Linked DNA regions of Rhinolophus ferrumequinum. The protein of the gene in region 3 purifies or fractionates together with the protein of the main gene of each other region. This does not show direct contact. Links are inferred from orthologs where the notes say so. Each region holds a gene or a part of one and is shown on either strand. Other genes may lie near its edges.

Region 1 (7,739 bases), on a different chromosome or scaffold from region 3:
CTGTGCAGTTATTTTCAGTCTCTGAGTAGGTACGGCCCGCTATGTCGGCCTCCCCTGAGCTTGTCAGGTTTAACATGTCTACATGATCATGTAGACAGCTTTTCTGTCTACAAGATCATGATTAGTGCTCTGATGAAAGTAAATAGGGAACTATGATAGAGACAAAGAAGGGGGCCCTTTTTAGAATGGGCTGCCTGGAAGACCTCTGAGGAGGTGACAAAAATTATGAATGTCTTTGAAACAGGCAAAAAATTACTGGATCTCTTGTCAGTTACACCTTTCAAATTACTCTCTGCCTGTTTTTATCTTTGAACTACTTTACAACTCTGTAAATTGTAGCTGATTGATAGCAATGCAAATGAACCATGTCCATGGACATGGAAATACATTTTGTCCTGTGCAAGTGCAATTGATTTCCCTCCCCTCACCCCTGTGTAGAAGAATCCAGTTTTACATATATTAAGTAAATTCATTTTTAACATTCCTGATGGGCTATGTATGTAACTGCTCTTTGAAACCTTCTTTTACTCCATTGTAACATCTTACTGGTTCCCTCATTAATTAACAAGTTAAGTAAAATCTTTGACGTGTTCATTTTATAGTCATATGAGTCATAATTTTTACCTTTAAAAAAAAAGTGATCCTTTAACACATTTAAATTCAATCCCCCAACAACTCTAGTGTTGGGAATCCCTCAGCCAAGGGCTACCAGCCTAATGAGACAGATTAGCTAGCATGTTGTTAGGTAGACAGGAAGGTCCCTGGTGGAATAAACAAAAGGCAGCCATATCCTTCACTCCAGGACACAGATATAAGAATGCGCCTTGAGGTTAATAAATTATCTCATAAATTCCTTTTGGCTGGACAAAAGGAACAAATCTGATACATAGGAATGGGTTCATTAATCCCTTTAGGGTGGGCAAACAGGACAAACCTGATAGATGAATTCCATTATAAGGCCCCAGCTCCCTTCTCCAAACTGGCACGGGAAGGTATAAAAGTAAGAGCTTTTGCTTTAGTCACTGAGCACCCTGGTCGGGACCCCCTCTCGTTCTGAGAGCTGCAACTCTTTACTCTTTACTTTTAATAAACTATCCTTTTTCACAACTCCTCACCTCTCCTTGGTCCGTGCTTCCATTCTTCGGTTTCATGAGACACGATCCCGGCACAAAGAAAATATTCTACATCACTAACATTCACATCACATCAAGACTGAATGAGCTGATCACACTGTCTACTCCTTCATTATTTGTGTGCTGATAACGCATGCCAAAAAAATCACCTCTGTAAGATGGGGTCAAGAGAGAACACAGGCTTTCAGTTTAGAGGCTGACATACTTTTATCAAGGGTGCTTATGAAATCAAAGAGATATCGATTTTTCTAACATTGGTGGCAGTTAAAAAATGTTTAACAGAACTCTTAGATATTTTTGAGCCCATGGCAGGGTTGTGTTGACAGAATCCTAGAATTTTAAAATAGCATAGAAAACTTAAAAGTCATCTACTTCAATCTCTTCATTTTATAGATGAATTAATCAGATCAAGAAAGTCTAAGTGACTTGTTGGAGTCAACTAATTAATGGTGAGCTGAAATAGAACCCAGTCCTATTCTCTTTCTACCGCCATGATGTTGGAGCCCAGCAGAATTCCACAAGATTCCTGAAATGCTCCCCATCTCTCTTTCCCCTTTTAAATACAAATACTCATTCTGAAAATGAAGGGGAGTGGTGGTGTCAATGAGGGTAGTATATCATAAAGAAAGAGCTTGGATTCAGAAATAGTCGTGGGGGGCAGCCGGTTTGCTCAGTCGGTTAGAGCGCAGTGCTCATAACACCGACATCCCCAGTTCGATTCCCACATGAACCATTGAGCTGCGCCCTCCACAACTAGATTGAAAACAATGACTTGACTTGGAGCTGATGAGTCCTGGAAAAACACACTGTTCCCAAAATATTCCCAATTAAAAATGAATAAATAAATAAATAAATTAATTAAAAAAGAAAAACAAAAAAAGAAACAGTCTTGGTTTTTAATCTAGTTTTATTACTTGTTTGTATTTCTGAGCTTTAGTGTCTTCAGCGACATAGGTATAAATTATTATTAAATAATAATGAGCTGCCTCAAAATATTATTGTGAGGGTAATAATAACCTATATAAAGTGCCTGGCACACAGTAGGTGCTCAATAAGCCATAACTATTATTAAGTGGTTACTCCCCCCAATAACAGATATATTAAAGTAACTGTTTTCATGCCATAAATATCCTCGTTTTTGTGGAATGGAGTTGACAATACTGACACTTTTATAATAAATTAGTACTTTTATGTGTAAATGAAAATTACACATACACCCACCTACAGCTGTCTGTTAAAAAAAATCCATCTTTATTAAATGAACAATCGGCAAACATAAGTCAACTCTACACAAATCAATATTCTTTCTCTACCGCCCACTGTTTCATTTGGATGCTTGAAAACAATTCTTATGTCTTTAGACACAATCTGCTTACTTTCAAACTGTCTGAAATGAAACATGAAATTGTATTTTTAAAAGTACAACAGGCCCTGGAGTATGAGGCAATCCAGGAGAGGGCACAGCTCTATACGCCACATCCTCTGCGTAGGTGATGGATCCCTCAGAGTGGTAATTACCCAAGAATCATCCCCATTGATAAAAATAACTATTTGTTTAATACTTTATAGTGAACAAAGGGTTTTCACATATAACAATTTAACTGTTTTTAAGAAACCAAAGAAAGGATGCTATATGCAACAGAGGCAAGGATGGGGAATACTATCCAGATATATTGGCTCACTAGATAATTGAATCTCTATTACTGTTACTAGTTTGCTAGTGCTGCTGTAACACAACACAAAATGAGTGGCTTAAAGCAGCAGGCATTTATTGTCTCGCAGTTCTGGAGACCAGAAGTCTGACATCAAAGTGTTGGCAGGGCTGTACTCCTGCTAATGGCTCTAGGGAAGGATTTGTTCCAGGCTGCTCTCTGAGCTTCGAGTACATAGTTCCTTGTGTGTGGCAGCATAACTCCAATCTTCACATAGCAACCTCCTTATGTGTGGGTCTGTGTCTAAATTTCCCCTTTTTATAGGACATCAGTCATATTAGACTAGAGCCCATACTAATGACCTAATCTTAACTTGACCTTATATCCAAATAAGATCACATTCACAGGGGTTATGTAAATTGTAGAGGGACACAATTCAACCAGTAGCAATTGCCATATCTTTTCTCCTTTTAACCTTGCCAAACACACAGGTGGCAAGCAGCATTCATTAATTCATTCATTCAATGAACATTTGAATGCATATATGTCAGGTTCTGTACTGGGTATTGATAACGCAAAAAAAAAAGAGAAATGGATGGAGCCTGTCTTTGAGAAGTCACACTTCAGAGGGAAGCAGAGACACATGATAATAAGTACAATTATTGAGCACCTACTTCGTACTTGGTGTTCAAATAGGCACTTTTCATTCAATCTTTACAATAAGTGATGTATCAGAGACAGGCCTGAGGGATTTGGTGAGGTCCTAATCCGCTCTGGGGAAAGGATTGTTTTCAGAAATTAGGTAGCATTTCATCTGAGTCTAAAGGAATGTGCAGAAATATACTAGGTAGGGTAAAGGTGGTTGTAGGGAGCAGCAGATTCCAAAGAAAAGCATTTTATAGAGGAAAAGATAGCACATGTAAAGGTTGACATACAGCTTGTACACTCTACAGAGGGGTGGGATTTTAGCCTATTTTCTTCTCTCCTGTATCTACAGCACTTTGAAGAGTGCCTGGTTGTTGAATGAATATAAGGGCATCATACGAATAAGGAATGGCTTGCAGTTCACTGTCGTTGGAAAGGTGGGCAAAGAGCCCTGTAAACCACACTAAATGTAAGAGACTAGGGCTGACATACTGATGTTACAGCTCTAGTATTAAAAAAATACAATCAGTCTAGGAGTGCTTGGCACTCGCCCTGCCAATTACTCCTCTTCCCCAGACCAAGTCCAAGGGTACAGCGTGGAGGTCCAGAAGACTGGTAAGGGCGCCAGCTCCACACATGCCAAAGTAGGGTTCTCTGCACAAAGCTCGACTGAAGCAGATGATTTGGGATCAAAGTCGACGTGGATCCTCCAACTCTCCTTCTCCCACTCTACCGTGCCCTCATTCCCCGCGGGGAGCCATCGCTGACTCTGGATGGGTACCAGTGCGTCTTCAGGCCTTCCGGGGACCCACAGCGGAATCCCTGAGCGCGCTCCCGCTCGCCTGCCCCGCCCTACTGACCCCTGGAACGCAGCAAGAGCGCACGCGCCCCTTCCAGAGCCAAGCGCGCGCCCGCGAGCTCCCCGCATCCCCGTGCTCATCCGGGTCTCAGCAAGCCTCAGCCAATGGTGGACGCTCGCGGCCCCCAAAGGTGGAGCTAAGCCTTCCTTCACGTGGGGCCTGTGATCGCCGCGGGGGCATCCAGGCAGCCGCGATCAGTCCGCCGAGAAAAGGGGCAGAGACCGAGAGCCCAGTGGCTGGGCGAGGATCGACGGTTTTGAGACCCAAAGGCTGTCGGCCCCTAGAAGCAACTGAAGCGCGAGCACATTCCTTAGTCAGAGCCGCTGTAGTAAACACATTTCAGAAACGTGATGTGCCGGTGGTCACGTGGCCAGCGCGCCCTCCAATGAGGAGCCGGGGGCGGGGCCGGGGCCTCTGACGCGGTGGTGTCGGCGGAGTCACCCGGGCCGCCTCGGGACCCGTCACCGGCGGGCAACCGTCCAGCGGCCTGGACCACCGCCTCCGTGCTTCGCGCTCCGTCCTCACTCGCGTCTCTGGGCGGAGAGGCAGCGTGGCCCACGGGGGCTGAGTCTTCGCTCATCCCTCTCGGTGGCTTGCCTCGGGCGGGCCGCTTTCTTCTCAGGAGCCGCCTCGGGGAGGTGAGGTTTCCGTGACGAACCTCCCGGGGCTGCGGGTGCCGGCTCGGGTTGTGGAGGAGGCTTGAGCCCTTGGAACTTGCTCACCCTCTGGGGGTCCGAGGCCCTGGAAGTTATGCGACTCGTCCAGGCCGTTGCGACGGGCGCCGGCTCCTAAAGGGCGTCACACCCGGACTCCGCTGACTGGGCAACCTAACCTCCATTCATCTTCCAGCTGCGCCTCCAGCGCCCTCTCACTCTCTGGTCCCTTCCCCGGACTCATTTTTTTCCTCTCCCCCCGTCGGCCGCCCTGTTCTTACTCCTTGGGTGCGGCGATTCTCCTGGAAGCCGAGGTGTCGGGTATGAGCCGGACCCTCGTTCCTTGATTCTCTCCGTGGAGGAACTCGGCGGGGACCCGCCGCCCGCCGCGCCGCCGGGATGGGGGTGAACGCCGTGCACTGGTTCCGAAAGGGGCTCCGGCTTCACGACAACCCCGCCCTGAAGGAGTGCATTCAGGGTGCCGACACCATCCGCTGCGTCTACATCCTCGACCCCTGGTTCGCCGGCTCCTCCAATGTGGGCATCAACAGGTGGCGGTGAGTCAGAATCCCGGGGGAAATTGATTTCGGTGTTTCAGGAATCGGGACTTGACACGCGATCGGCCCAGTCGGAGAACTTAAACCTGGGACCGCCTTGCTTGTGCCGTTTTCAACGTTGTAGACGCTTTAAGTATGAAATAGAATGGGTTTAATAGTTCGCTGGCGAGGGAGTGCTGGCCACCGGGAACGCCTTGGCCTCCGCCGTGAATGTCGTGTCTGCGTTAATGGGAACTCTCTTCCCGGATTTGTGGGGAGTTCTTCGCGGTGGAGTTAAAGAAACACCCTCCTCTTTTTCAGGGGCCCGTGGGTTGATTTCTTTGGCCTCCTTGTGGCATCGGAAAGGATTGTGTTTTTTAATGTGTATGTGTGTGTGGGTCTCGGTAAATCGTAGTATGGAGAACATCATTCATTCAGTACCGTCGCCTCCCAATCCCGTTTTCTTCCACCTTGAGGTTGCGGGAGGAAAAGCAAGGGAAACATCTGGTTTCTCTTTGCTCAGCTCTGCCTCTCAACTCCTCCTTGTGGTTGACTGGACAAAGCACCGTTTTTCTTTCTAGGCAAAGTATAATCCTTCTAGGGATCAGAGTAGTGGAAGAAATAGTAGAGAAGCTTGATGTTTTTTTCCTGAAATACCAGGCTAGTTGATTGTTAGGCCCCCTGGTGGAAATGATAGCATTCTACTGCATACCAGGCGTTGCTTTAAACTCCAGGGGATATACTAGCAGTGAATAAAACCGACTACGATTCGTGTCCTTTGTAAGCAGGTGTCCTAGAAAGTAAGATATGCAGTATTTGGTGGTGATAAATGCTATGGAGAAATACGAAGCAGAAGGGGGATGAAGAAATACGAAACAGAAAGGGGAAGAATACAAGGAGTTGGGATTAGAGTTGTAATTTTAAGTGTGGTGATTGGGAAAAACTCAGAGAGAAGTGGCAGTTGAACAAGGTGATGAAGCAAATACGGATTGTGGATGTCTAGGGGAAAAGCATTCCAGGCAGCAGGAGCATAAGAGAAAGGGCCCTGAGGTGGAAATGTGCTTCACCTTTGGAAGAAACAGCAGGAGAAACGAATATGAGGAGCAGAAGTGGAGGAAAAGAAGTAGATGAGGTCAGAGATGAAATAGGGCTAGATTGAGTAGAGCATTCTAGGCAATTATTAAGATTTGGGCTTGTACTCAGAGCAAAGTGGGAATAATTGCAGGATTATGAGCAGAGATGTGACATGCTCTGACTTAAGTTTGAAAAAAATTTCTCTGGCTGTGAGAACAGACTGAATTGGAGGGGTGCAGGAGGATAAGAGGCAGGAAGACCAGTTAGGAGGCTGTGGCATTCACCCAGGTGGGAAGTAGTAATGGCTTGGACATAGTGATGGTTGGTGGTGGACTTAGTGAGAAGTAGCCAAAAAGTGCTGAATATATTTTGAAGACAGAATCCACAGTATTTGTTGGCAGATTGGACATGTGGTGTGAGAGAAAGAGAGGAATTAGGAATGATTTCAGAATTTTTGGCTTAAGGAACTAGAAGGATGGAGCTGCACTTTGCTAAGAACGTGACGTCAGTCAGAGAAATCATTGGGGGAGGGTAGTGGAGTTCTCTTTTGAACTTGGTTAAGTTTGAGATGTTTATTACACATCCTAGTGGAGATAGCAAATCGGTTGTTGGAGTTCAGGGCAGAGATCCAGGCAGGAGGTATAAATCGGTGAGTCATCAATTTGTAGATAATATTTAAAGCTATTCATCCATATATTTGTCATACACCCAATGCATGGCAGGCACTGTTTTAGGTGCAGGGGATTCAGCATAAACAAAATAGCTAAAAAACAAAACAAAACAAAAACCCCTACCTGTTGAAGCTACATTCTAGAGGAGTCATGAAACTATATGAGAACATTAAGAAAGTTTGTGTAGATAGAAAAGAGAGGAGGTGCAAGGACTGAGCCTTGGGTGCTCTAGTGTGTAGAAATTGTGGAGCTATGGAAGAACCAGCATAGGAGATTGAAAAGAACATCTAGTAAGGTAAGAAGAAAACCCAGAAGAGTGTAGTGTCTTATAGACCAAGTAAGGAAAGTATTTCAAAAATGTTTTACGGACATCAGGTGCTGCTGATAGGTCAAGTGAGATGAAGACTAAAAGTTAAAAATTGTATTTAGCACTTTGAGGTTATTCATAATCTTGATAGAGTGGTTTCAGTAGTGTCAGAGGCAAAAGCCTTTTTGGATAGCTCAAGAGAAGCTGA
Region 2 (7,199 bases), on a different chromosome or scaffold from region 3:
TGTATCTCTATGCCCTCCATAATACTATTTCCGAAACATTGATGTACATATATTAGCATTTATGATCTTGAAGGGAAAAAAATATGTAGTAAAAACAGGCTGAAAAAACTAAACCAGAATTGACATACACAGTTTGAAAGTTATGTGTGATTGCTGCTTCTGAAGTACTTCAAAGTATTTGTGAAGAGTTTATTTTAAATAGCATAAATATTTTTCCTGGACTTCTTTTAACATCATTAATGCTATTAAAAGAGCTTTAGAAGAAGTAAACTTCAAGGGAGTCCCTACTTGAAATAATAAGAATCAATCACAAACATAGCTAGAGACACCATTCCTTGCACTTTGCAAGGATTATCTCATTTAATCCTCCAACTTCCCAGTAAGGAATAGTATTCTGTCCCCTCTTACAGGTGAGGAAAATGACAGGGCCATTAGGTAACTTGCCCAGAGTCACACTTCGGGCTAAAGGCTGGAGGCAAGATTCAATACAGACACCACGAGTTCACAGTCTGTGTGTTTCACCTTTAGACTGTAACCGGTAGCTTTGGCTAGAATATTATAAACAGGCTTTTCCCAAGTGGCAATAATTACCTAGGAAGCATCTGAAATAATATTTGATTTGATCTATACAGGCTCATTGGTGATAACACCCCTTCCTCATTTTTGAGGCAACAGGGTGCTACAATTTGGACTACTAAGTATCACACCAAAGCAGACAAAACAATGCAATGTGGTGATATCCTGGATTGGATCCTGGAGCAGAAAAAGGACAGTGGAAAAACTGCTGAAGTCTACATAAAGCCTGGAGCTTAGTTAATAGTAGTACCAATGTTAGTTTCCTCGTTTGGACATTATAGCGGTAATGCGTGGTGTTAACAATGGGGAAACTGGGTGAGGGTATATAGGAACTCTGAGTCCTAACCTTGCAACTTTTCTGTAAATCTAAACTTATTTCAAAATTAACAGTTTCTATTATAAGAATAAATTACAAAGTAAAAACTACTTAAAAAAAAAAAAAGATTGAAATGTATTTCTAGCTCAATGAAAACAAACTAATTTCTGTCCCCAAATTTCTAAGCATCATATTTACAAAATTCAACCCTCTTGGATGTATTTTGATTTTTTAAACAAATGTAGCATGCTGTGTGTTAATGTTCAAGAATGTTGTCAAAGTGTATTTCTCGTCCTTAAGTACTGTAAGGATCATGTCCTACACAAGGTGGATTGAATCACTCACCACATTTCATGCTCGCTTATGCTGTTCACTTACTGTGAGTCACTGTGCCAGCTTTGTCCTTGCTACACAAAGGCTTCCTTCATCACAGATGCTTACAACGAGTGACAGAAAGCTACTGCTGTGGGCATTGTGCTCTCACCGTCCTTCTGACCTTCTCCCGCTGTGGTGTCTCCAGTTACATGGCAGAAATGGACTGACCTCATTCCCAACTCCAGGGATGCCCCTCGAACTATTGTAACTCTATCTGGTGAACTTATCCTGGCCATGGTGATTGGGTCCGGTTGCCCTGGCCTCAGTCACTGGGCACACAGGATTCTCCTGGCAACAGGACTGGTTCAGAAACCAATGGGGGATAATGAAATATGAAGGCAGATGTATGTGTTCAGAATTTCTGGGGAAAAAAATGTCCACATCTCCCCCCACCCTCCAGGTGTTGTAGTAAACAAAAAAAAAGTTCTTAAATCTGCAACTTGTTACCATTGCTTCACCTGGTGGAAGCTACTCTGAGGATGAAAGCAAACAGAGAGAGGAGGGCTACGCAGGCAGCCAGGCCCTCTAACTCAGCCTCCCAGCCTCAATCTCACAAATCTAAAATGGCAATAACACTTCCTGCAGATCACTGTTAATTCCAAGGCAGTATCTGCACTGTGAATAAGTTTTTAAAAAAAGAAAAAGAATAAACAAGCATTGAGATGATATAAAGATATTGCTGATTTTGTGGTAATATTTACATTTTGGTTATGTTATTTAAAAAGATTTTACCTGTCAGATAGTCATAGTAAAATATTTACAGGTGAAATTGTATCTTGGATTTGATTTAAAATATTCCAGAATTTTAAAAAACGGAAGAAAGACCGGTGGTGAATGAAATAAAAATTGTGAAATACTGAAGGTGAGTACTGGATAAATGGTGGTTCATTGTATTGTTTTTTGTGTTTTAATCTATGAAATATAGAAGCAATAATGGTCCCTGCATTTATACAGAGCTGCCTCTGTACCGAAAAGCATGATACACTAAGAAATCAGAGAAAGAGTCCAGATCGTAACATTTGCACAACAAACATAAGCACAGCACACTCAAGACATCAAGTTACAATGGACTTGAAAAACCATCTAACTGAATGCCTTAAATTTTACTGCTATGAAAAATGAAATCTAATACATTGAAACTTTTGGGTTGTTACCTAAGCAATTCTAGTTTGGTTGTTTTACCAACAATGTACCTGGAAACTGGAAACACCAGCTTATATTGGCACCTAGAACCTACTTACCCTCATGCCCAATGGACAGTCACCATATCAGGACTCTCAGTCATATCCAGCACTTTCCTTCTTGTAAAGCATCCACCATTCTTTCTCTTCCCGCCTCACACCGCTGGGTTTCTTTCTCCCTCCCGATGCTTGCTAATAATTCTTTGCTCATGCACGTTCTAGGGTTTTACCTTCAGTTCTCCCTCCTCCCTCACTTCACATGTTCTTCCTGAGATAAGCATCAACTTTCATGCTTTTCCATCTTTTATGATGACTGACCTCCTAGAGCCATATTTCTTTCTGGCCCAGAAACTCCAAAAGCAAATGGTCTCACCCCACAAAATGACTCAACAGGTCCCCAGATGAACTATCCCTCCCTCCGCTCCACTTCTTACATGGTTATTGGCACCTACACCCAAGAGTCACCCTGCGCCACATCTGCTCACCAGGCCCTGGGGATCCTTTGTAGTCAGCCCCTTTCCTTCCCAAGCTGCCTTTGACCAGTTCCTCATCCTTCTCTTTCTGGTCATTTTGCAAACTTCTCTTAAATGACTCATGCTTTACGGTCTTCTTTCTAAATGCAAAGTTAATCATGTTACTTCCTTCCTTAAAACTCCCCAGTGACTTCCAACTGTCTGAGGTTCGAAAACCATCCTGCTCTGTAGCTCTAGAGCAGGGGTGTCCAAACTGCAGCCCACGGGCCAACTGCGGCCCGCAATCCATTGTTAATTGGCCCGCAGCAAATTCCAAAAATACATTTAGTTTACTTAAATAAACCAGGTGAGGCAATACGTACTTCACCTCGAGTGAGTGGCCCGGCTGTTTGTGTATTTTACCGAATATGGCCCTTGGTGAAAAACATTGGAAAAAGTTTGGACATAAAAACTCCAGTCTGCACTCTGATGCCAGTCCAACCCACTGAGCTGCTTCCTGCATCAGGATCACTGTTCTTATACGTTTCTCCTGTTAGAAGCCTCAATCATTCATTAGCTGTTCAGCAGACAGGTACTGAATTCTTTATGTGATAGACCCTGTACCAGGGCACAGAAGTGGAGACTGACGCTGTCCCAGCCTCAAGGAGCTTATAGTCTAGCAGGGAAACAGACTCTAAAGAAAAAAGCCATGGGGGAGAGGGAGTAAGTGGGGGGAGCTTGGCGGGTAGAGAATAACCACCCCAAGAAGTAATATTTGAGTTCATTGGCATGTTGTTACAATATCCTTTCCTGCTTCTTTGTAAACTAAAATGATTTAGAAGTAGCTCCCCCATTTTTGCTTTTTGGTGAATCTAGGAGTTTAAAACGCCTTTCCCCTGAAATATTTGCCTTGTACTTCCTCTTTGCAGAATTCACAATCCTGCAAAAACCTAAACAGATTTCAAAAGTCAGCATTCCTAAGCACCCTCCAACCCCACCCCCAGCACACCACCCTAAGGCAGAACAGAACTGAGTCCTTCCTCAAGACTCAGCTGACATCAGTCACCCTAACCCTCCCCTGCCTAACCCTCCCCACCTGACCTTTCCTTGCTTAACCCTCCCTTACCTATCCTTCCCCTACCTAACCCTCACCTACCTAACCCTCCCTTACCTAACCCACCCCTACCTTGCCCTTCCTGATGAACAGAGAAGGCTTAAGGAAAAACTGCATTCTTTCATCTTTCAATTCCCCACCCAACACAGTGCAGACTCACAGTAAATGTTTAAATGTTAAAAGGGCAAAAATTACTTTGTACATCGAGCATAACTTCGTATAAACTTTCTGAATAACAATTGAGCAATATCTGTAAAAACTTTAGAAGGCTGAGAAGCACCACACCTAGTTAAATGTTCTACAGAAATCCTAGAAGGCATAAAAAAGCATGTACAGGGATGTCTTATTTCAACATTTGACATAGTTCTAATTTTTGCTAAAAATTAGAAGCCAATGTCAATGGCCACCCACAGAGATCTGGGTAAACAAATCTGGGTACATTCCTTCTATGGAAGATCCCTTTGCTACACTAGTTAGAAGGAGACAGATCTATCCATATTGACACAGAAAGATATCCGTAAATTGGAGGATGACAGTGATAGTACAATCTTGTCATTTATTCTATAAAAGAAGAAACATGTTTTCACAGCATCGGGGTAGAGGGAGTCTCTAAGAAAGTACACGTATGTATTATCTCTGAGGGCGTAAGACTAGAAGCAGGGAGGAAGAACCACCCTTTTCTACTTTAAACTTCCCAATACTGAATTTGTTAGAATGCAATATAGTTCTTAAATTTAACACACAACATAATCATTAAAGTAAAAGGTATTTTTACCCTAAGTAGATATTATTTTACCAGTTTCTTGTTTAGGAAACTAAGATTGTTTTGACGTTTTGTTTTTTTAAAGTGAAATATTTTTCACTGCTAAATTCCTGGGGCCTAGAAGAGACATATAGCAGACACTCAGTATCTGCTGAATGGATAATCTGCTATACATTTATAAAATAGTTGCTCAGAAGGAACAAAGTATCTAATAGCCCTTCACAAACTTACAAAGGAAAAATATCACTTGCAGAATGTGTCTTAACAATCTAGTTACCAAGTTAAGTGAGTTAGGATATTTTTAAAAAGTAAACTTTTAAAAAGCACACAGACTCTCAACATAAACTACCAAGTTTACCAGGTAAAGGGTTCCTTCCAAATCAGTTTAATTTACAACGTGGAGTTTGGCACATTCCTGGTAATAATATGACCAATAAAAAGATATATGAAAACTTGGGAGGAAAATACAGGGCCTCTAATAGAAGAAAATCAAAAATGGCTAATAAGCCTTAATTTTGATCTATTTAAAAGTGCTTATTTGGGGGCGGTAATTAACTTTTAGCTTAGACCACTGAGACCAGTAAAGGAGCTCCCCCAGTAAAGCAGCCTTTTTATTTTCAGATCCTAAAAGAATGCCCCAGAGAAGGCAGGCCCTCCGTGGCTGCTGATGCTGATGGAAAGTGCAATACCTGGAAGAGTGCAAGACAGCCAAGGTTTTAGGCCTAAAAGGAGAAAGCCTTGAATAAGTTCACATTTAACTTCAATACCCTGCTCCTTAAAAGGAAGATACAGAGTATTTAACCAAATGTTAATTCATTGGAAAGTATTATCTATACAAATAATGGCCACCGAGGAGCTCAGCTCCCATTGGTTGCAGGTTTCCCCCAAGGGAAGGCACTTTGAGTACTTGTTTTGGGACACGTGGACCCAGCAGCCTACTTAAATTCGAAAAACCCACATACTCCCTGCATTTTTTTTTCCAACCACTACAGAACTCTTAATTCTAAAAATTCCTTTGAGAGGGTGATTTAATCCTATGAAAAAACAAGGTTCTGAATAGGCTGTCACCGAAACCCAGTTACATTTAGAGGAGAGAGAGGTTAAAATATTTCTCTGCCAAATTAATGCAACTGGTGTTTAGCAAGTCAGTGAATTAGAAGTGAATAAAATAATCCTTTGAGACTACCCTCTTAAATCTTCTCCAAAGCCCACCTGGAAATAAATTCTTCCAAGGTCTACCCAGCGGGAGGCATTTCTCCCTCTAGCAATGGCTACTGCGTAGAGAAAGTTGTCTAAATTCATTGGGAAATCAAGCACCTACTGTTTACTTTCTAAACTTGTTACCCAAAGGTCCCAGGTTCTGTCTCCGCCCTCCCCGCCCACTCCTCCCCTACAGAGAGCAGGGGCCCAGTTTCTTATTTCTCAGTGATTCCAGCCCTACGTAGGTATGGAACAGGTGCTCATGAAATACCTGATTTCACTATTTCATGGCACGGCAGAATTCGAAAGAAAAAAAAAAAACTTTGGAAACCATCTAAAAGCAGTACACGTGTTCACTGTGGCTAATAAACAGCTACAAATGATGATTTTTAAAAATTAGCATATTATCCATCTGAATGAATCCTACAGAACTTGGAAGCCAACATCAGCCCGCCACGAGCAGAGGGAGCAGCTGTGCCAGAAATCAACGCAGCCCAGCCCGGGCTCCCGAAGGCGGGCGGCGGGAGAATGGCCAGCGCAGCGTCTAGGGACTCGACTCCCGGCGCCCCTGCTCCCCAGATCGGGAGTGGGAAAGGGAGGGGGAAGGGACTGAACCGGGGACCCCCGGCGCCTGCAGCCGCCGCACCGAGGTGGGGGTGCCCGTTTCCTTGACAACCGCGCCGGGGCACAGCCCTTCCTATGGGACGGGGGAAGGGAGGGAGCGGAGGGACCCCCCGCGCGGGGGCGGCGGCGGCCGGGGGCACCTCCCGGGCTCAGGCACCGCGGCCCGGCTTCCAGGGCCCTGTCCGGCCGCGGACCGCGCCTACCGTGTATCCCCTTTCCAGGTCACTCTCCTCGTAGCGAAAGGACGGGATGTAGACCTCCATGGCTGCGCCAGGCGGCCCGCGGAGGGCCAGTAGGGGCGGGCTCCCAGCCGCGGTCGCCGCTCCGCCCCGGGCCGGGCCGCCCCGCCTTCTTTCCCTGCGCCCGCGGGACCCGGAGGAAGCGCGGCCCAGAGCTGGGTCTGCGGCTGACCGCGCCGCCCGCGGCGCTCTGGGGGGCCGGGGCCGGACCGCGAGACCCGGAGCGAAGGACGCAGGGCTTTGGGAGCGTGGGTTCCAGGCCTAAAGGGCGGTGGAGATCAGCTGGTCCTGGAGGAGGCGGGGCCTGAAACCTGTGAGTCTGCAGAAAAGGGGTGTGCGCCTCTGCCCCGGGCGCCGGG
Region 3 (7,852 bases):
CAAATATGTAGTTTCATGAGTCCAGCATTGCAGCCCCACACAGCGTCTCCCGGCCCAAACACCCCCCTACACCCCAGCACCACTGCTCTCCTCACTGCCTCCACAGTTTTGCTTGGTCCAGTTTAGCATGTAAAGGGAATCATACACATGTAGCCGTTACATGCTGGCTTCCTTCACTTAGCAATATGCACTTAATTCATCTGTGCCTTTTGTGGCTTGATAGTTGACTGCTTTAGTGCTGAATAATAGCCAGATGTCTGAATGTTTCGGTTGGTTTATCCATTCATCTACTGAAGGATATCTTGGTTACATCCAGTTTGGGGCAATTATGAACTAACCTGCCATAAATATTCTCAGGAAGGTTTTTGTGTGGGTGCAGGTTTATAACTCAGTTGGGTAAATACTCCAGGTTGCTATAACAAAATACCATAGACTGGGTGACTGCAGTAACAGCCATTTATCTTTCAAGGTCCTGGAAATGAAATCCAAGATCACGGAGCCAGCAGCCCTGGTGTGTGTTGGGAGGGCCGCTTCCTGACTGTCCTCGTGTGGCAGGGGGCTCGCTCTCAGGCCTCTTCTTATAAGGGCACTAATGCCATCGCCACTGCCAAAGGCCGCACCTCCTAACCCCATCACAGTGCTGGCCTGCACAGCACTGCCCGCCCCCCACTCCCAGGCCTGTGGGTGAGCCCCATTGGAGAGCATCCCAAACTTGCCCTGACTTGACCCCGGAACCCTCAACTCCTGCATCAGCGCCAGGACGCCCCTCCAGAGGCCTCCTGACAGAACATGCTTGGGGTTGACCAGGGCTGGGTCACTCGACCCAGAGTCAGGCTCAGCGAGGCCTCCATCCAGTGGGCAGAGCAGCAATCAGGCACTGGGCTCGTTCTAGGGCGGGGTCTCCACCCTGTGCACTGCATCCCTGACCTCCAGGTCTGATGTGCCAGCAATCCCCCGATTGTGACAATGGGACACTGCCACATGTCGCCCCACCCCCACCCCAGCTGAGAGCCCTGGTCCCAGCGGCCCAAGCGAGCTTTCTGGGGACGATGGAAATGCTCTGAGCTGTGCTGTCCGATCCCCGTGCCACTGAGCATTTGGACCATGGCTACCAAGGCTGAGGAACTGGATTTTTACTTTTAGTTCATTTTAATTAATTTAATAGCCATGTGTGGCTAGTGGCTGCCTCTAGAGCAAACACTTGTCAGCGCTAGAATCCTAGCCAACCCTGACACCCCCCTTCATGAGGCCTGTCATGCGGGGTCTCAGCTCCCACTCCCCACAGAAGAACACAGGACATGGTGAGGCCAAAAAGGAACACCCACGGAGCCATGGATGGGGGTTCACACCACTATAGTCTCGCTGGCGGCTGGGTTGGAGACACAGGAAGCAGGAGCCACACGATCCACAACCCGCCATCCGCTTCTCTGCCAACCCCCCAACCCCCCAACGCAGCCCCGGCACTTATATCAGTGGCTAAGGGCTAACCGGTAACAGCTGATGGCCACCCAGCCACAGCGGACGGCCATCTACTACCTGAGCCAGCACCTTTCCACGTGAGGCCGAGAGCCTGGAAACTGCTCCTTGGGACTCTGTCCCCGAAAGGCCTCTGTCAGCCTTGCCTGTGCTCTGGCTGCTGCTGGGAAGTTGCTTGTGAGCCTCTGCGCGCCCTCCCTGTGAGCCCCCTCCCCCAGACCAAGGTAATTCCTCCTTCAGATCTCAGGGACGGTCACCTCCCTATGGAAGCTGCTGGAAGCTGCGAACTACAGCCTGGTTCCCGCGTGTGGTGTGGCCTGCAACCCGTCTGGTCCTCCATAGTCCTGGCCCAGTTGGCAATCACTATTCCCTTTGTGATGGTTGGCTTCCCTAGGCCGGAACTCCGTGGGCAGGTGTTCATTAAATGGGGATAATCGTTAGTGCTGGTCCCGTCGGGCATCGGCATCGGCCTGCGGGTGAGGAGTGGGCACAGGTCCTGCCTCGCCGGGGGGTCTTAGTAGGAAGCCACTGTCCAGTCGGCACCATCAGCTGCTCTGGTGGCAAACATCACTGCTGCTGCCTGCGTGACGGCTCCTTTTCCAAGTAAACAGTAGTTATATAAACAGCTAATATTTATACAGCAGTTGTTTCCAGGCCCTGTTCTGAACTGTGCCCGTGGTAACCCTCTCACCCTTCTCCACAGCTCTAGGGTTCGATGATGTTATTCCTATTTCACAGATGAGAGCACAGAGGCACAGAGAGGTTGAGTTACCAGCACAAGGGTGCAGAGCTGGAGGCAGAGCGGGAACTGAAACTTGGGCACCTGACCTCCACCCCAGCCCAGACTCTCAGTCACTGCCTTTAAAGGTAGTGGCTCCTCCCCTCCTGTTCAGTCCAGGCTGGGCTGTCTCCATTGTAGCAACCATGGGGCTGGGAAGACCGGGAAGTTAGCTGAACAAAGGTGTGTGTGTCTGTGGGAGGAGAGGGGGAAACACATTACAGGTGCAGCATTTGCAGGGGCCCTGAGCAGAGACATTGACGCATTCAGGGAACTGTTATCATTCCTGTGGGATGGTGAGGACCCTCCAAAATCTTAGCACGGAAGCTGGGTTCAGTCCCCAGAGGCTGACCCATGCTTTTTTTTCAATTCAGATAAAATTAACATAAAATTCACCATTTTAACTGTTTGAAAGTGTACAGGTCAGTGGCTTTGTGTCCATTCATGATGTTGTATACTTGTCTGCTCCCTAGTTCTGAAATGCGCTGGTCCTCCCCAAAGAGGATCCCCAGGCCCACCAGCAGTCTCCCCCCAGCCCGCTCCCCAGCCCTAATCCGCTTCCTGGTCTGTGGATTTGTCCGTTCTGGACACTTCATGTAAACAGAATCATACAGCATGTTGCCCCTTGAACCCGGCTTCTTCAGTGTTTCAGGGTCCATCCACATTGTAGCAGGTGTCAGAGCTTCTTTCTTTACATGGTTGTGTGATAATTACTCCACATAGGATAAACTACATAGGGTTTATCCATTCATTCATTATGGATATATGGGCTGTAAAAAGTTGCTTACATGTGATAAATAAAACAACGCTGCTCTGAACATTTGTGCATACATTTCTCTGTGGACAGATATCTTCAGTTCTCTTGGGTACCGACCTGGGAGTGGAGCTTCTGGGTCACATGGTAACTCTGCCTTTATCTCTTGAGGAACCCCACACTGGCTTCCAAAGTGGCTGCATTGTTTTACATTCCCTCCAGGAGTACGAAGGTTCGACTTGGGTCGGTTTTAAGCAGGCAGGGCTTGCATGGGATGTGAGCTCTAGAACCATCTTTATAGCCATGCTGTGGACAGCAGCCTGTGGACAGTAGGCTGGGAGGCAGTGAGACCTGTCATTGGGGACGAGCTCTGATCAGACAATGTAGTTTAACTTCTTGTTGAAGTCATGGGGAGTCACAAGATGTTCTGGAGAGCTCATGTTACTGATTACGTGTTGGCTGATTATCCTGACCAAGTTTGTGAATAAACAGGTGAAGCAGGCAGAAACCTGGGGCCTGGGGTGGTCCAAAGAGCTGCCACTTCTTTCTGAGACAGGACACTGAGGCCCCAGGAGGGGACTGCAGGCCATCAATCAGCCGGGGCAGCTCAGGGAGTGGTCCATTATGTCCAGGGAGCGGGCTCCAGGCCCCTTTCTGGTTCCAGTTTGCACTTGTGGCTTTCTCCGGTGGGTGAAGCAGGCACTGCCCATCATCAGTTCTGCCACCATGGCTATTTTACTAGTTTGTCAAAACCCACCCCCAGCCCTAAGACTGAAAAACTGGGCAACCACTGGGCAGGGACGGAGCCATTCCCGATTGCCCACCAGTCCACCACGGACTGATTGCTCAGGAATTGATGCCGGCCTCACCAACCGGACCTCCAAACATTTTCCGACAAAGGCTGCTCTCCTGAGGCTGCCTGTGCCACAGGAAGGGCCTGGTTCTGACCATCTGCTCCGGCTACTCTAGCCCACACCTCTGTGCACACGGGAGTGTGTTTGCTAGATGTCCAAACATATATGTTAACAGCCTGTTTCACCGTTGCCACTTTAGCCGGGGTTGAGGATAGGCCTAGAGACGTGTCCATATGGAAGCCCTTTCTTCTCAATTTGGCGGCCTTTCCCAGACTCCCTTCCCAGTGACTGGAGTGGAGTCCAGATCAGCCTGAACTTCAACGTTCCAGCTTTCTTTTGCAAGGAAGAACTTTCAGACCGCACACAGATTAGATAACAATGCTGACTAAGTCTCCAGGCGGATGGGCCTGGAGAGGCGGACTGTCCGGGCCTCACCCTTTGAAGCCCTGGTAGCTTCACCTTCACCTTCACCCTTCAGGCCTGACGCCAGACCCGAGGACGTGTCTCTCCGTCCTTCCGCCCTAGGTTTGAGTGTGTAGGACGGGACGTCAGGGGCAGTGGCAGGCCGTGCTGCAAGCCCTGGACTGCACAGTAGCTAAGTCCCGAGCTGCCAAAAGGGCCGTGCACACCTCTGTCCCCTGTGACCCGGCCAGTGTCACTCCCTCCCGGCGCCGACCCAGGGCGGAAGGCCCTCCTCCTTTTGAGTGCGAGGGCGCTGCCTGCGGGCCTGTCCCGGGTCTGTCGCCAGGAGCCGCTGGCTTCCCAGACACCCGCGGGGGCAAACGTGGAGGCTGCACACGGGAAGCGGCCGGGTGGGAGCTGCAGACCTGCGACGGGGACTTCGGGCCACAGAGAATAAGGGGCTGGCCCCGGCGTCGGTGGTTCGCAAGGACGCCGGAGCCCGCTCGCCCCGCCCCCTGGGCAGCGCAGCCCCGCCCCCGGCAGCGCGGCCCCGCCCGCCGGGTTGCTAAGGGAAGTGACGTCACAGCGCGATGGCGGCGGCTCCTTCAGGCAGCTGAAGGGGGATTTAGGCCCGGAATATCCGAGTCCATCCGCGACGGGGAGAGGGCGAGCGGGGCCGGAGGGGGCCGGAGCAGGGGCGGCGGCGCTCGGACTGTCCCATCCGCCCCTTATTGAGGCGCTGGGAACGGCGGGGCGGCCGGAAAGCGATGGTGAAAGCGGGGCCGTGAGGGGGGCGGAGCCGGCAGCCGGACCCGCAGTAGCGGCAGCAGCGGCGCCGCCTCCCCGAGCTCAGACCCAGGAAGCGGCCGGGAGGGTAGGAGCGAGCCGGGCCCGCCGCCGCCGCCATGGAGCTCAGAGTCGGGAACAGGTACCGGCTGGGCCGGAAGATCGGCAGCGGCTCCTTCGGAGACATCTACCTTGGTGAGGCGCCCCTCCCCCGGGCCGGGGCCGCCCCCAGCCCGGCGCCCGCCCGGGACCCCGCCCCCGGCCGCTGACCCCGGCCCCGCCCCGGGACCCGCTCCTGTCGGGACCCCGCGGCTTCCAGGGGACCCTGTGGCCTTCCCGAGCCGCGGCCCGCGCCGCCCGGCCCGAGGGCACCTGCCCCAACGTGCGCCCGGCGCCGCCACCGGGCAGTGGCCGGGCCGCGGCCCGAGGCCCCCGCTGCCCCCGCTGCCCGGCGTCGGCGCCGGTGACCCGCAGACGGACAAACGCCGTCGGGCGGTGTGCGGCCCCCGCGTCCTGCGCGCGTGCGGTGGGCTGGGCGGGGCGGGGCGGGCGGGACCGGCCGGGCGAGGCTCCCGCGCCCCTCGGTGCCCTTCGCGACCAGGCAGCCCCGGCTGAGCGGCCCCGGCGGGCGTCGGCCGGGCGAGCGGTGCCGCGGACGTGTTGCGCATCCGAGCCCCGACTGGGCGCCGGTTAAAGAGGAGACGTTGACGGGGCTGGAGACCCGGTCCGCGCGGACGCGACCCGCTGTCCCTCCGCGCTTGTCCCTTGGGCTGTGAAATTGTCAATATAGATTTGAGAGCCGTGTTAGTGTTCGAATGTTCTGGGTTGGCTTAGGTTTCCCTCGAAAGGACGCGCACGTGCACGTGTGGAATAAGAGGAGGCTCGAATCCCACAGTTGGACGTTTAGAAAGAAGGTGTCTGCGTTTCTCGGGAATCGCCCGTCAGTTATGCCCCCACCCCCGGATTGGGACCGTCCAGCCCGGCTCGCGACCGCGACCGGTGTGCAGAGGGACCACCCTGGCACGTTGGGGATTCACAGGCCCCGCGGTGGGCAGCCCGCTCTGCTGTTTCCCTCTGGTCGCTGTGCCTGTCAGGGAGGGTCGGGAGTACTTCCCTTGTCGGTATTTCTGGTGGTGCCTGCACCTGAGCCCAGGTGTGTGCGCTCACCGCACGCACGTCCTTCTGTCTTGTCACCTGGAGAGGACGCAGGGCCTTCAGAGGGGCCCACACGTGCGCTGGGGAAGTTCATCACTGCTTCTGGTGCCTCGGTGCCCTGCAGAGTACCCCCGTCACATGCCACATTTGTGCCTACTGTCCTGCTGAGTAAAATACACTTTGGAGACACTGGGATTCTTCTATTTAAATATTTATATGCAGTAGTCAGCCGAATGCGTTCTCAGCAGCGTTTTGGGCCGGGTAAGTGCAAGCTGTTTGCCTTATTTATAGAACAATAGATTTTGGCAAAAGTTTTAACTTACGATCTAGGAGCTGTGCTGAAAAGCCAGTCCGTTAGTCACCCTTGCACAGGCATCAGAAAGTAGATGCCTTGAAATTTTTTGTCCTCTGGTCAGACTTCCCAGACAGCTCTGTGCTTTCCGAAGCTGGGTTTGGACGATTGCATTGTGGACCAGTTGTCACCAGGTCAGTCACACGATGTAAACTGTCTCATCGGGAGTGGGAGCTCGGTGGGGACCCACCTGCCCGTTCACCACGGCGTCCTTTGGGCCTCAGCCATGTGGGCGCACCTGCTACAGGTCCAGTTGACCGGGCCCGAGGGGTCTGTCCTCGGTCTCTGTCCCTGTGCTCTAAGATGGATGGACGGTGGCTCTCACGCCCTCCTGAGCACCCACACAGCCCACCGTCGGGGTGCACGTGGAGGTATTGTATGGGACGGAGCATAACCAGGCGTCTTCCCTCAGCATTGGCTCTTGGCCCACATGGGGGTCCTTTCAGGCTGCAAGTTACCCACTGAAAATGTGAAGTGACCTTGCTAGTTTGAGATGTGGCTGGAAAAGGTGGGTCTGAGGCAGCTCACTGTGTACTGTAGTTAAGGGTCAAAGATGACAGGTCCAAAGAGCAGGGGATGGATTGCGTTATTTGTACTGTAGTTTTTTCCTGTTTGTTTAGGCCTCTAATTAGGCATCACTTAAGGAATTGAGTCCTCCTCGTGGGAATCGGTATGTTCGTGGAGGGAAGGCTGGCCTCCAGCTTGCTGCGCGCCTCGTGGATCAGGAAGGCCCAGTGCTGGCCTGTCTCCTGGTGTCCTGCAGGCTGACTCGGGCATGCAGCACTGGGCCCTGCCAGGTCACTCCAATCGTTCCCCAAATTGCCCCTTCAAAGGGGGGCAGTATCTCGGGTCTGATTCTCCCATGCATGGGCTTCAGAAAGTACTTGGACTGGGGCCACCGTGGACCCCAAAACGTATAGTCTTGAACCTCAGTCTGCCTCCCCCTAAGCTTGACCGGTCCTGAAGGCTCCTGGGCAGGGCTGGATGGGGAGGCCTCAGTGCTCACGTCCTGTGTGCATGCGTGCAGCACACACTTAGGCAGAAGGAATTGCAGGTGGGCGTGAGGCGAAGCTTCTCACTCTCCGGCCTCCCTCAGCTTGAGCTTCCCGCAAGCTTTAGCCCCTGGTGGCTGGAGGTGAGGTGTCTTGCAAAAGGCAGTGGGTCCCCGAAGTCGTTTCGCTTTGGTGGCAGTGTGCGTCTCATACGTTTGATAATGTTCAAAAACCAAGGGAGAGCCAGTGTTCTTAACGTGGACCCGTGTTCCAAACCCCAGTGTGACTAGGAAGCTGGGGTGT
Region 4 (7,513 bases), on a different chromosome or scaffold from region 3:
GTGAATGTATACATATATAAATGTTTTCTTTTGTGTCTGGCTTCTTTTGTTCAATATTCAATTTATGAGATTCATCCATGTTGTTGAATCTAACTACAGTTTGTTCATTCTTATTATTGTATAGCATTCCTTTGTTTGACTACACCACAATTTATTTATCCATTCTACCACTTATGGATGTTTAGGACTATTACTAACAATACTACTATGAATATTTCTGTAATGTCTTTGCCATACATGTGCACAGATTTCTGGTTGGTATGTGGTAGGAATAAAAAATTGCTCCGTCATAGGGTGTATCATTCACAATCCGTAGGGTATGTAGTTGTTCAAATTGAGTATTAACACCAGACAGTTTTCTAAAGTGGTTGTATCAATTTACATTCCCAACACTAGTGTATGAGTGTTTTAATTCCTCACATCTTCCCCAACACTTGGTTTTGTCAGTCCTTTAACTTTATCCATTCTGGTGGGTCTATAGTGATATCTCATTGTGGTTTTTGTTTCCCCAAGGTGAGCTCCTTTCTATGTGTTCATTGGCCACTTGCATATCCTTTGTGGGAGAGGGAATGGAAAGTGTTTGCTCAGGTCTCTGGCCTTTAACAAGTTTCACGGGGCTGCCAGTGTTCCTTTTCTTTTTCACCTCTAAGAGTTCTTTAAATATTCTCGATTTGAGCTCTTTAAGAATTATGTGTTACGGCTACTTCCGGTCCATGATTTGCTTTTTCACTCTCTAAATAATGTTTTTTGATAAACAGCAGTGCATAATTTCAATATAGTTCAATTTATTAATCTGTTCCTTTATGGTTAGCCCTTTCCATGTCTTAAGAGTTTTTTGTCTACCCCGAAGGTCATGAGGATACTCTCCTATATAATCTTCTCAAAGCCTTACTGTTTTATCTTTCCCATTAAGCATATAATCTACCTGGAACTGATTTGTATGTTCTGAGATAGGGGTCAAGATTAATATTTTTACACTGGGATATCTGATTGACCCATTTCCATCACAGGAAAAACCACCTTTACCTCACTTCTTTACATAGACATATTTGTCATGAATAAAATACCAGATATGGGAGAGTCGGTTTCCGGATTCTCAATTCTGAAACTTTTGTCTATTTATTTTATTCCAATCCCATGCTGCACCGCTATCATCATCATCATCATCTTCTTCTTCCCCCTTTCACAAATGAGGAAACTGAGACACAGGAGCTAAGTAACTTGCCCAAGTAAATAATTTGCTAGTTAATGGCAGAGCTGGAAATGGAACCCAAGGAGTCTGCCTTTTCAGTCCATGCTCTCAATAAGTTTTACAGTTTCTTGCGTGAAGTCATGGAAACAAGAATTCCACTGCTACACACTGCAGAACGCCGCGTGACTAAAGGAAGAGGGCGGGGCCCTGATGCTCCTGCCTCAGCCGGAAACCGGCCCTCTGCTTCTTTCCCAATCGCACCACTAGAGGGCGCTGGTAATTTAAACTCTCCAGCGACGTCCCTCCCTCCTAATCCTGGTTACCATTCAACCAATCATCAAGTATTTACCCAAAACGCAGTTCAAAGGGAATGTAAAAAATTGCCCAATCTAGTCTCCATGCAGGATGTAACAAAGAGACAAACAGAACCGATGTTTGCCTTCTTCAATATCTTCAGCAAGGAAAGAAACTTCCCACTATCTGATTAATTTGTCTCATTCCTAAATCACTTTACACTAAATCCCTCCTTAAATCTCTTACTCTTCCCAGCTCACACTAGATTCTTTTATTTTATCCTTAGGGGAAACAAAGAGCAACTGTTTGGCATTCTCATGGCAACCACTCCTCAGAGTTGCTTGTAAATAACAAGATATATAGCTATGACGTCAAACCTCACTCTCTCAAAGATATAATAGTACACGATTACATTTCATCTCCTTCGCAATTTACAGGCTTCTTTGGTCTCGCTCCAATTTCTCCATGTCCCTTTCAAAGTGTGAAGTCCAAAAGTGGACGTTGCACTCCAGTATTGTATCCAGTGCCAGGTTTACTTCCTGATTCTTGAATGTTACCCTGTTAACATACCCAAGCAATATGCAATCATTCAATAAAATAATTCATCTTTATCAACTTGTTGAAGAATTATATAGTAATTAAAATAACAAACACAAAGACAATGACGTAGCATGCTTAATATTTTGTTTGAGAAACTCATGCAATACTGCACCTCTGCTTTGATTAAAATTATAAAAAGATATTTGTAGACAAAGACTAGAAGGCAACATGAGGATAAAAAAATAATTGATTTGTTTGATTTTGGGGGATTGATGGTGATTACTTACCAACGTAATGCAGAGTCAAAGAAGAACCAGAATTTGAACCCAGCCATTCCAAATGTGCAAGACGTTGGGCTTAACCACTATACCACACTGACTGTCAATGATAGCCTAATACTGTAGGGATAAATGACATTCGATCATTCAGCAAATATTTATTGAGCACTTACTACATGTCAGGTACCAAACTAAATGCTGCAAACACACGGATGAGCAAGATAAACACAGTCCCTGCCCTCATGGAACTCACAGTTTATAGAGAAAGAATCATGAGAGTACAGAGGAGAAAAAGAGAAGAATACACATCTTTAAAGCCCTAACCTCCTCACACTCTGTTCCATTCCTAAGAAGAGCATCAATCTTGTGGAGAGAAAAGGGGATAGGAGAGGGGGAACACAAAGCCTTAAAAGAAAAGTGAGGAGAAGTGGCATCTATTCAGCAAGCATTTGAAGAGGAGATTGAAAAATAAGGATCGAGTCAGGATTGAGATAGATAGATTTTTTTTTTTTTTTAAGGACCGGGATAGATTTTTAAGGTTCCTGCCAACCTGAGACCCTAGTCCCTGTACAACTTTTACTCCACTAAGCCAAGCACTGAGCTAGACCCTGAAAATAAAACTGTAAATAAGCCATGGCCCCTGCCCTCCAGGAGTTTATAGTCTTATGGGGCAAACAGACAAGTAAGAAATTCTAATACCATGTCCTAAGGCCAGTAATAAGAAGAAACACAGAATGAGATGGGGCATTATGCAGGCTGAGACCAGACAGCAAGAAGGTGACATTTATACTGATACTGAGCAGTGACACAGGGCAAACTGGAATTGGGGGATGGCGGGGGGTTGGGGGGTGGGAGGAGTGTAATCCAGGCTTGAGGGAACAGCTTGTGCAAAGCCCTGGAAATGAAAAAGAGTGTACCATTAAAACGATGCTCTGGTAACAATTTTATTGGTACCATACTGGTAACCATAAAATTTTACTGGTAACCATAAAATTGCTAAATTCCTTTATTGTTCATTCCCAAGTTCAGTAAGGGTTCCAAGCATGGGAACTTAGCACAACTTAGCACCAAATTGAAACAGACTGTTCTCCACTTGATAACCCCAGAGCTCCAGTATGACCAGACCATTTAGCCTAAGGTCAACACTTCATTGCAGGTGTTCATATGCTTGTCTTGCCATTCAGTCAGCCAATCAGCAAGCCCAGTGCTAGCCTCCATAGGAATAAGAGGGCTCCACCTGGCTCCCCAGGGCAGGAGTGGGGACAGTGTGCTTCATACCTCTGAATCCCACAGGGAATTCCAGTAGTGTTTGAGCACAATTGTACCATTGGGTCTCCTATACATAGAACTAGAAGAAAATAAATTCATCTGATGTCATAATTACTATCGCAACCCACATCCTCCACATTTCCAGTTCCTACTCTCAACCCTTTTACTGCTACCCATCAGACTCTGCCTCTTGCAAATGTCAAGTTGCTCAGCACAGATAGAAATATAGCTTTCCGGATAAAAGCAGATTAGAAATCACAATAATCTGGATGGAGTCCTCTTATTAGCTTTATGATATTGAGCAAGTCCCTCAACCTGCAGCAGCCTCAAAGTTTACTTATCTGTAAAATGAGAATAATAACAGCTCTTTCACTGGGGTTTATTGAATAAATGCAACTGGGCTGAGAGTAGTAAATGAGACAGTATGTATAAGGAGATTATCACGTTGTTTGGCATGTAAAGTGCACTCAATAAATGGTAGCTGTAGATGATGTAATAGATTGAGGTATATGGTGATGACGATGTTAATGACATGGTGACCTGGACGCCGGTTGTCCAGGTTCCGTATGTTACTGGCTGGAGTCACAGCAACCCCCGCCAGCCCAGGCAGCTTTTTCCGGTGACAGGCATTGAATAGGACGCATGTAAGGGATCCGCTGTCCTTCGAGACTGCGTCTGTGTCCAGATCTCCGCGAGAATCTCCAGCCTGCGTCATCTGCCCTGCCCGCTGGCCGCTCCCAAGCCCACCGACACATGGTGGGAACGTGAGGGGGCGGGGCCGGACTCGGCGCCGCTGGGCCAATCGCTCGGCGGGAGGCGCCCAGCCAATGGCAGAGACGCCCCAGGGCCCGAGGGGCAGGGCCACAGAGAGGAGAGGCGGTGTCATAGGTCATTGGGCGGGCTGGGGGCGGGGCCCACGGCGCTGACAGGGGCTGTACAGCAGTGGCCGGGAGCAGTCAGGGCGGTGATGGCGGCGGCTGTGGTGACCGCGGCAGCAGTGACCCCTGCGCCTGAGGCCGGCACGGATGGCGCCTCCTCAGTGCATTGGTTCCGCAAGGGGCTTCGGCTCCACGACAACCCGGCGCTGCTGGCGGCAGTGCGCGGGGCGCGCTGCGTGCGCTGTATTTACATCCTCGACCCCTGGTTCGCGGCCTCCTCCTCCGTGGGGATCAACCGATGGAGGTAAGGGGGCCCGGGGCCGGGTCGCGGGCTCGGGGTACGCAGCCTGGCCTCTGGGGCGCCTGGCGAAGAGCCTGAGTCATCCCCCACCCAAAGGAGGGAGATCCTGCTCCCCAGCTCCGACGGCCGGAAGACCCCGGCCTGAGGGAGGTGGGGCAGGAAGATGGAGCCGGGTCTCCAAAGGGGAGAAGGCAGGACCAGGGAAGCAATTAGTCATCGTACCAAAGGCTTGGATGGGCCAGGGCTCACTCTCTGACAAAGTGCTTCCGCACTGTGTGTTATCCTCCTTTGGGCCGCAGACATTCCTGTGGGACAGAGATCATGATCTCCATTGTACAGATGAGACTCTTAAGCCCTAGAGACAAAAGTTGACCTGCCCAAGGTCTTGGCAGCCAGTGAGTGACAGAACAGGGACTCCTGGTCTGGGGCTCTTAGGGGTGTGCTCAAGGACTGGAGGAAAGGAGATACTGTGATGTGAGGGTAGGGTTGGATTTCTGAGTTTATGGCACAGAGATGCTTGCGTTCTTCAAGTCAAGAGCCCGTTGCTGGGCTCCTGAAGGTCATCTCTAAGCCTCTGGTTTGTCTGAATTTGTCTTTTCACCCATCCTGGTTTCCCTACCCCAAGACTGTGCTGCCTCTGGAGGTGTCTAGAGATTCTGGCTTAACATTAGATAAGCCAAGTGCAATCTTCCCGTTGTTATTGATAAAGACCCGAAGGGCGTGTTCAGTTAGAGGTACTGTGTGTCCTGACCTAGGGAGCCGTACTTCACCCATTTTGGAGAATTCCCTCAGCAGCTGTGAGTTTGCTAGAAAAGAAAAAAAAAAAGGAACCAAACAAAGTGTCACTTCCTTGTACCTCTTCTCGTGAGAATGATTTTAAAGGTCAGTTGCGCCACTATAGATTAGATTTTTATCAACTTTTGTGGTAAGATTAGGGAGCCGCAAAGGTGTGATATCAAGGGCTCCCCTTTGGTGACTCAGGAGATGGAGTCTGCAGGATCATGGGAAAGGATAACAGATAGGTAGTTGATGTATTTTCTCTGTAACCAGTGTTCAAAACCAAGGAGTTGTGAGACATTGTGTACCCATCTCTTTAAAATGCCCCTCAGCTGTCATTTGGTTTGCTTGCATTGTTCTGGGGGATGTTTGCTTGTGGCCTTGTCAACCCATGGGCAGGGTTATTCCCAGGAGACAGTGGCTCACAGCACAACTCTCTTTTCTCTCCAGAGTGTGTGCCCTTCCAGGAGAGTGAGTGCTTCTCACAGTGGGTCTATGAAATGTCCCCTCCTGCCCCATTTATATAGAGGGAATGACTAAAGATAGTCCTGTGGAGAGCCCGCCCACACAGTTTTCAGGCTGCTCTATTGCTCTGCCTCTGCTCCACTTTCCATAGACAGGAGCTTGGCTTTGACAAACACCCTCAAATGACCGTCCCTAGCATGGTCATTAAAGCGAGCCTCAGACGTTGCCCCTTTCCTTATGGCAGTGTGCCAATCAGAGCAGAGTCAATAGAATAGGGCTACCTGCTTGTACCTAATGTCACGAAGGAGTTTCTTCTTTTACTGGGTGATGCGGGACATTGCGTAGCACTGCCTACGCCTTGTGATAGTGGAGATTAAACATCAGCAACAAAAACCGTTGTTGATTAAACTCAGATTTGCTAGGAACAAGGTGTTTATGGATTTTTATGGGTCACCCTTTTGTGATTGTGCCTTCCAGCGAGTGAAAGAGAAAAGGAACGTGGCAGCTGCTGCCTACATCAAACCCTGAAATCAGAGGCTGTGTAGGCATGCAGATATTAACTGAGCAATTATTTAATGAGTGCCTCGTATCTAACCAGGCACTGTTCTAGGTGCTGCTAGGAACATAGCAATGAACAAGCAGAGGTGGCGTCCAGAACTCCTGGAGCCTACATTTTAGTGGAGGAAGACAAGTAAACAACTATCATTTAGTAGAACTGAGGGTCACGAAATAAAATAGGGGGACGGACTAGAGCAGTGGTTTTCAATCTTGCAACACCTGGGAATCACTGAAGGATCTTTCAAAGATTCCTGGACTCTCTCCTCCCCCAATTCTGATTTAATTGTTCTGGCTTACGGCGTGGGCATTAGGGTTTTTAAAGCTCTCATGTGCTGGAAAGCCTGAGGAGCCAACCATTGGGGAGAAATGTTTCTGTGCATTGGCAGGAAGTCTAATTAGTTTGGGCATTTGGAAGAAACAAGTGAAATAATACAAAACAGATGGAATAGGATAACTGCTCCTGGGCCTGGAGAAAGACACACTCCTGCCACCCCCACCTTACTCCGCGCTCCCATGATCAGATCCAGGGCAGAGCTGCAGCGTGTTTTATGCATGCAGTTGAGCGTTGGGAGTGATGGAGCCAGCAGTTCTTCTGCATAACTACAATATGTGTAATCTTCCGGTGGCTGTTTCTGGATGTGGGAGTGGTCTGGGAGAATTGTGCTGCAGCATAACATCCTCGCTCTGCAAATACTTCAGCTATGGCCTCTGAGAAGCCTCCCTAGGAAGGGCGGGCCCCGGGCTGGCTGCAAGAGGTGGGGGAAGCAAAATCTGTGATCTCTATTATTCTCCTGCATTTCCTACGCTGACTCCCACACAGCATTTTTCACAGATGTATCAGATTAAAATAACCACGAATGGCACATTCTAAGAGTAAAAGAGGACAGAGAGGCAGCCATGGAATATATATATTTCTTAGCATAGGAGAAGGGCTAGCATACACCTTGCCTTGGTGGTAGTG

Evidence for each region. Proteins that work in one complex are often made in the same cells at the same time.
Region 1: the proteins of CSNK1D (region 3) and CRY1 purify together in Homo sapiens (affinity purification with mass spectrometry; 3 studies listed by BioGRID and IntAct, counting the BioPlex papers as one, with this or other methods). This does not show direct contact. The link is inferred for Rhinolophus ferrumequinum from reciprocal best matches to the Homo sapiens genes CSNK1D and CRY1.
Region 2: the proteins of CSNK1D (region 3) and SNX24 purify together in Homo sapiens (affinity purification with mass spectrometry; 3 studies listed by BioGRID and IntAct, counting the BioPlex papers as one, with this or other methods). This does not show direct contact. The link is inferred for Rhinolophus ferrumequinum from reciprocal best matches to the Homo sapiens genes CSNK1D and SNX24.
Region 4: the proteins of CSNK1D (region 3) and CRY2 purify together in Homo sapiens (affinity purification with mass spectrometry; 3 studies listed by BioGRID and IntAct, counting the BioPlex papers as one, with this or other methods). This does not show direct contact. The link is inferred for Rhinolophus ferrumequinum from reciprocal best matches to the Homo sapiens genes CSNK1D and CRY2.

What each region holds. Positions count from the first base shown.
Region 1 is NC_046293.1:13,616,327-13,624,065, forward strand, and holds the start of CRY1 (cryptochrome-1), read left to right. Parts: upstream 1-4,724; 5' UTR 4,725-5,342; coding exon 5,343-5,500; intron 5,501-7,739.
Region 2 is NC_046290.1:84,382,236-84,389,434, reverse strand, and holds the start of SNX24 (sorting nexin-24), read right to left. Parts: upstream 3,016-7,199; 5' UTR 3,000-3,015; coding exon 2,934-2,999; intron 2,809-2,933; exon of another isoform or gene 2,515-2,808; coding exon of another isoform or gene 2,509-2,514; intron 1-2,508. UniProt on the Homo sapiens protein: May be involved in several stages of intracellular trafficking.
Region 3 is NC_046304.1:54,977,492-54,985,343, reverse strand, and holds the start of CSNK1D (casein kinase I), read left to right. Parts: upstream 1-4,851; 5' UTR 4,852-5,169; coding exon 5,170-5,245; intron 5,246-7,852. UniProt on the Homo sapiens protein: Essential serine/threonine-protein kinase that regulates diverse cellular growth and survival processes including Wnt signaling, DNA repair and circadian rhythms. It can phosphorylate a large number of proteins.
Region 4 is NC_046294.1:15,001,905-15,009,417, reverse strand, and holds the start of CRY2 (cryptochrome-2), read left to right. Parts: upstream 1-4,498; 5' UTR 4,499-4,540; coding exon 4,541-4,755; intron 4,756-7,513. UniProt on the Homo sapiens protein: Transcriptional repressor which forms a core component of the circadian clock.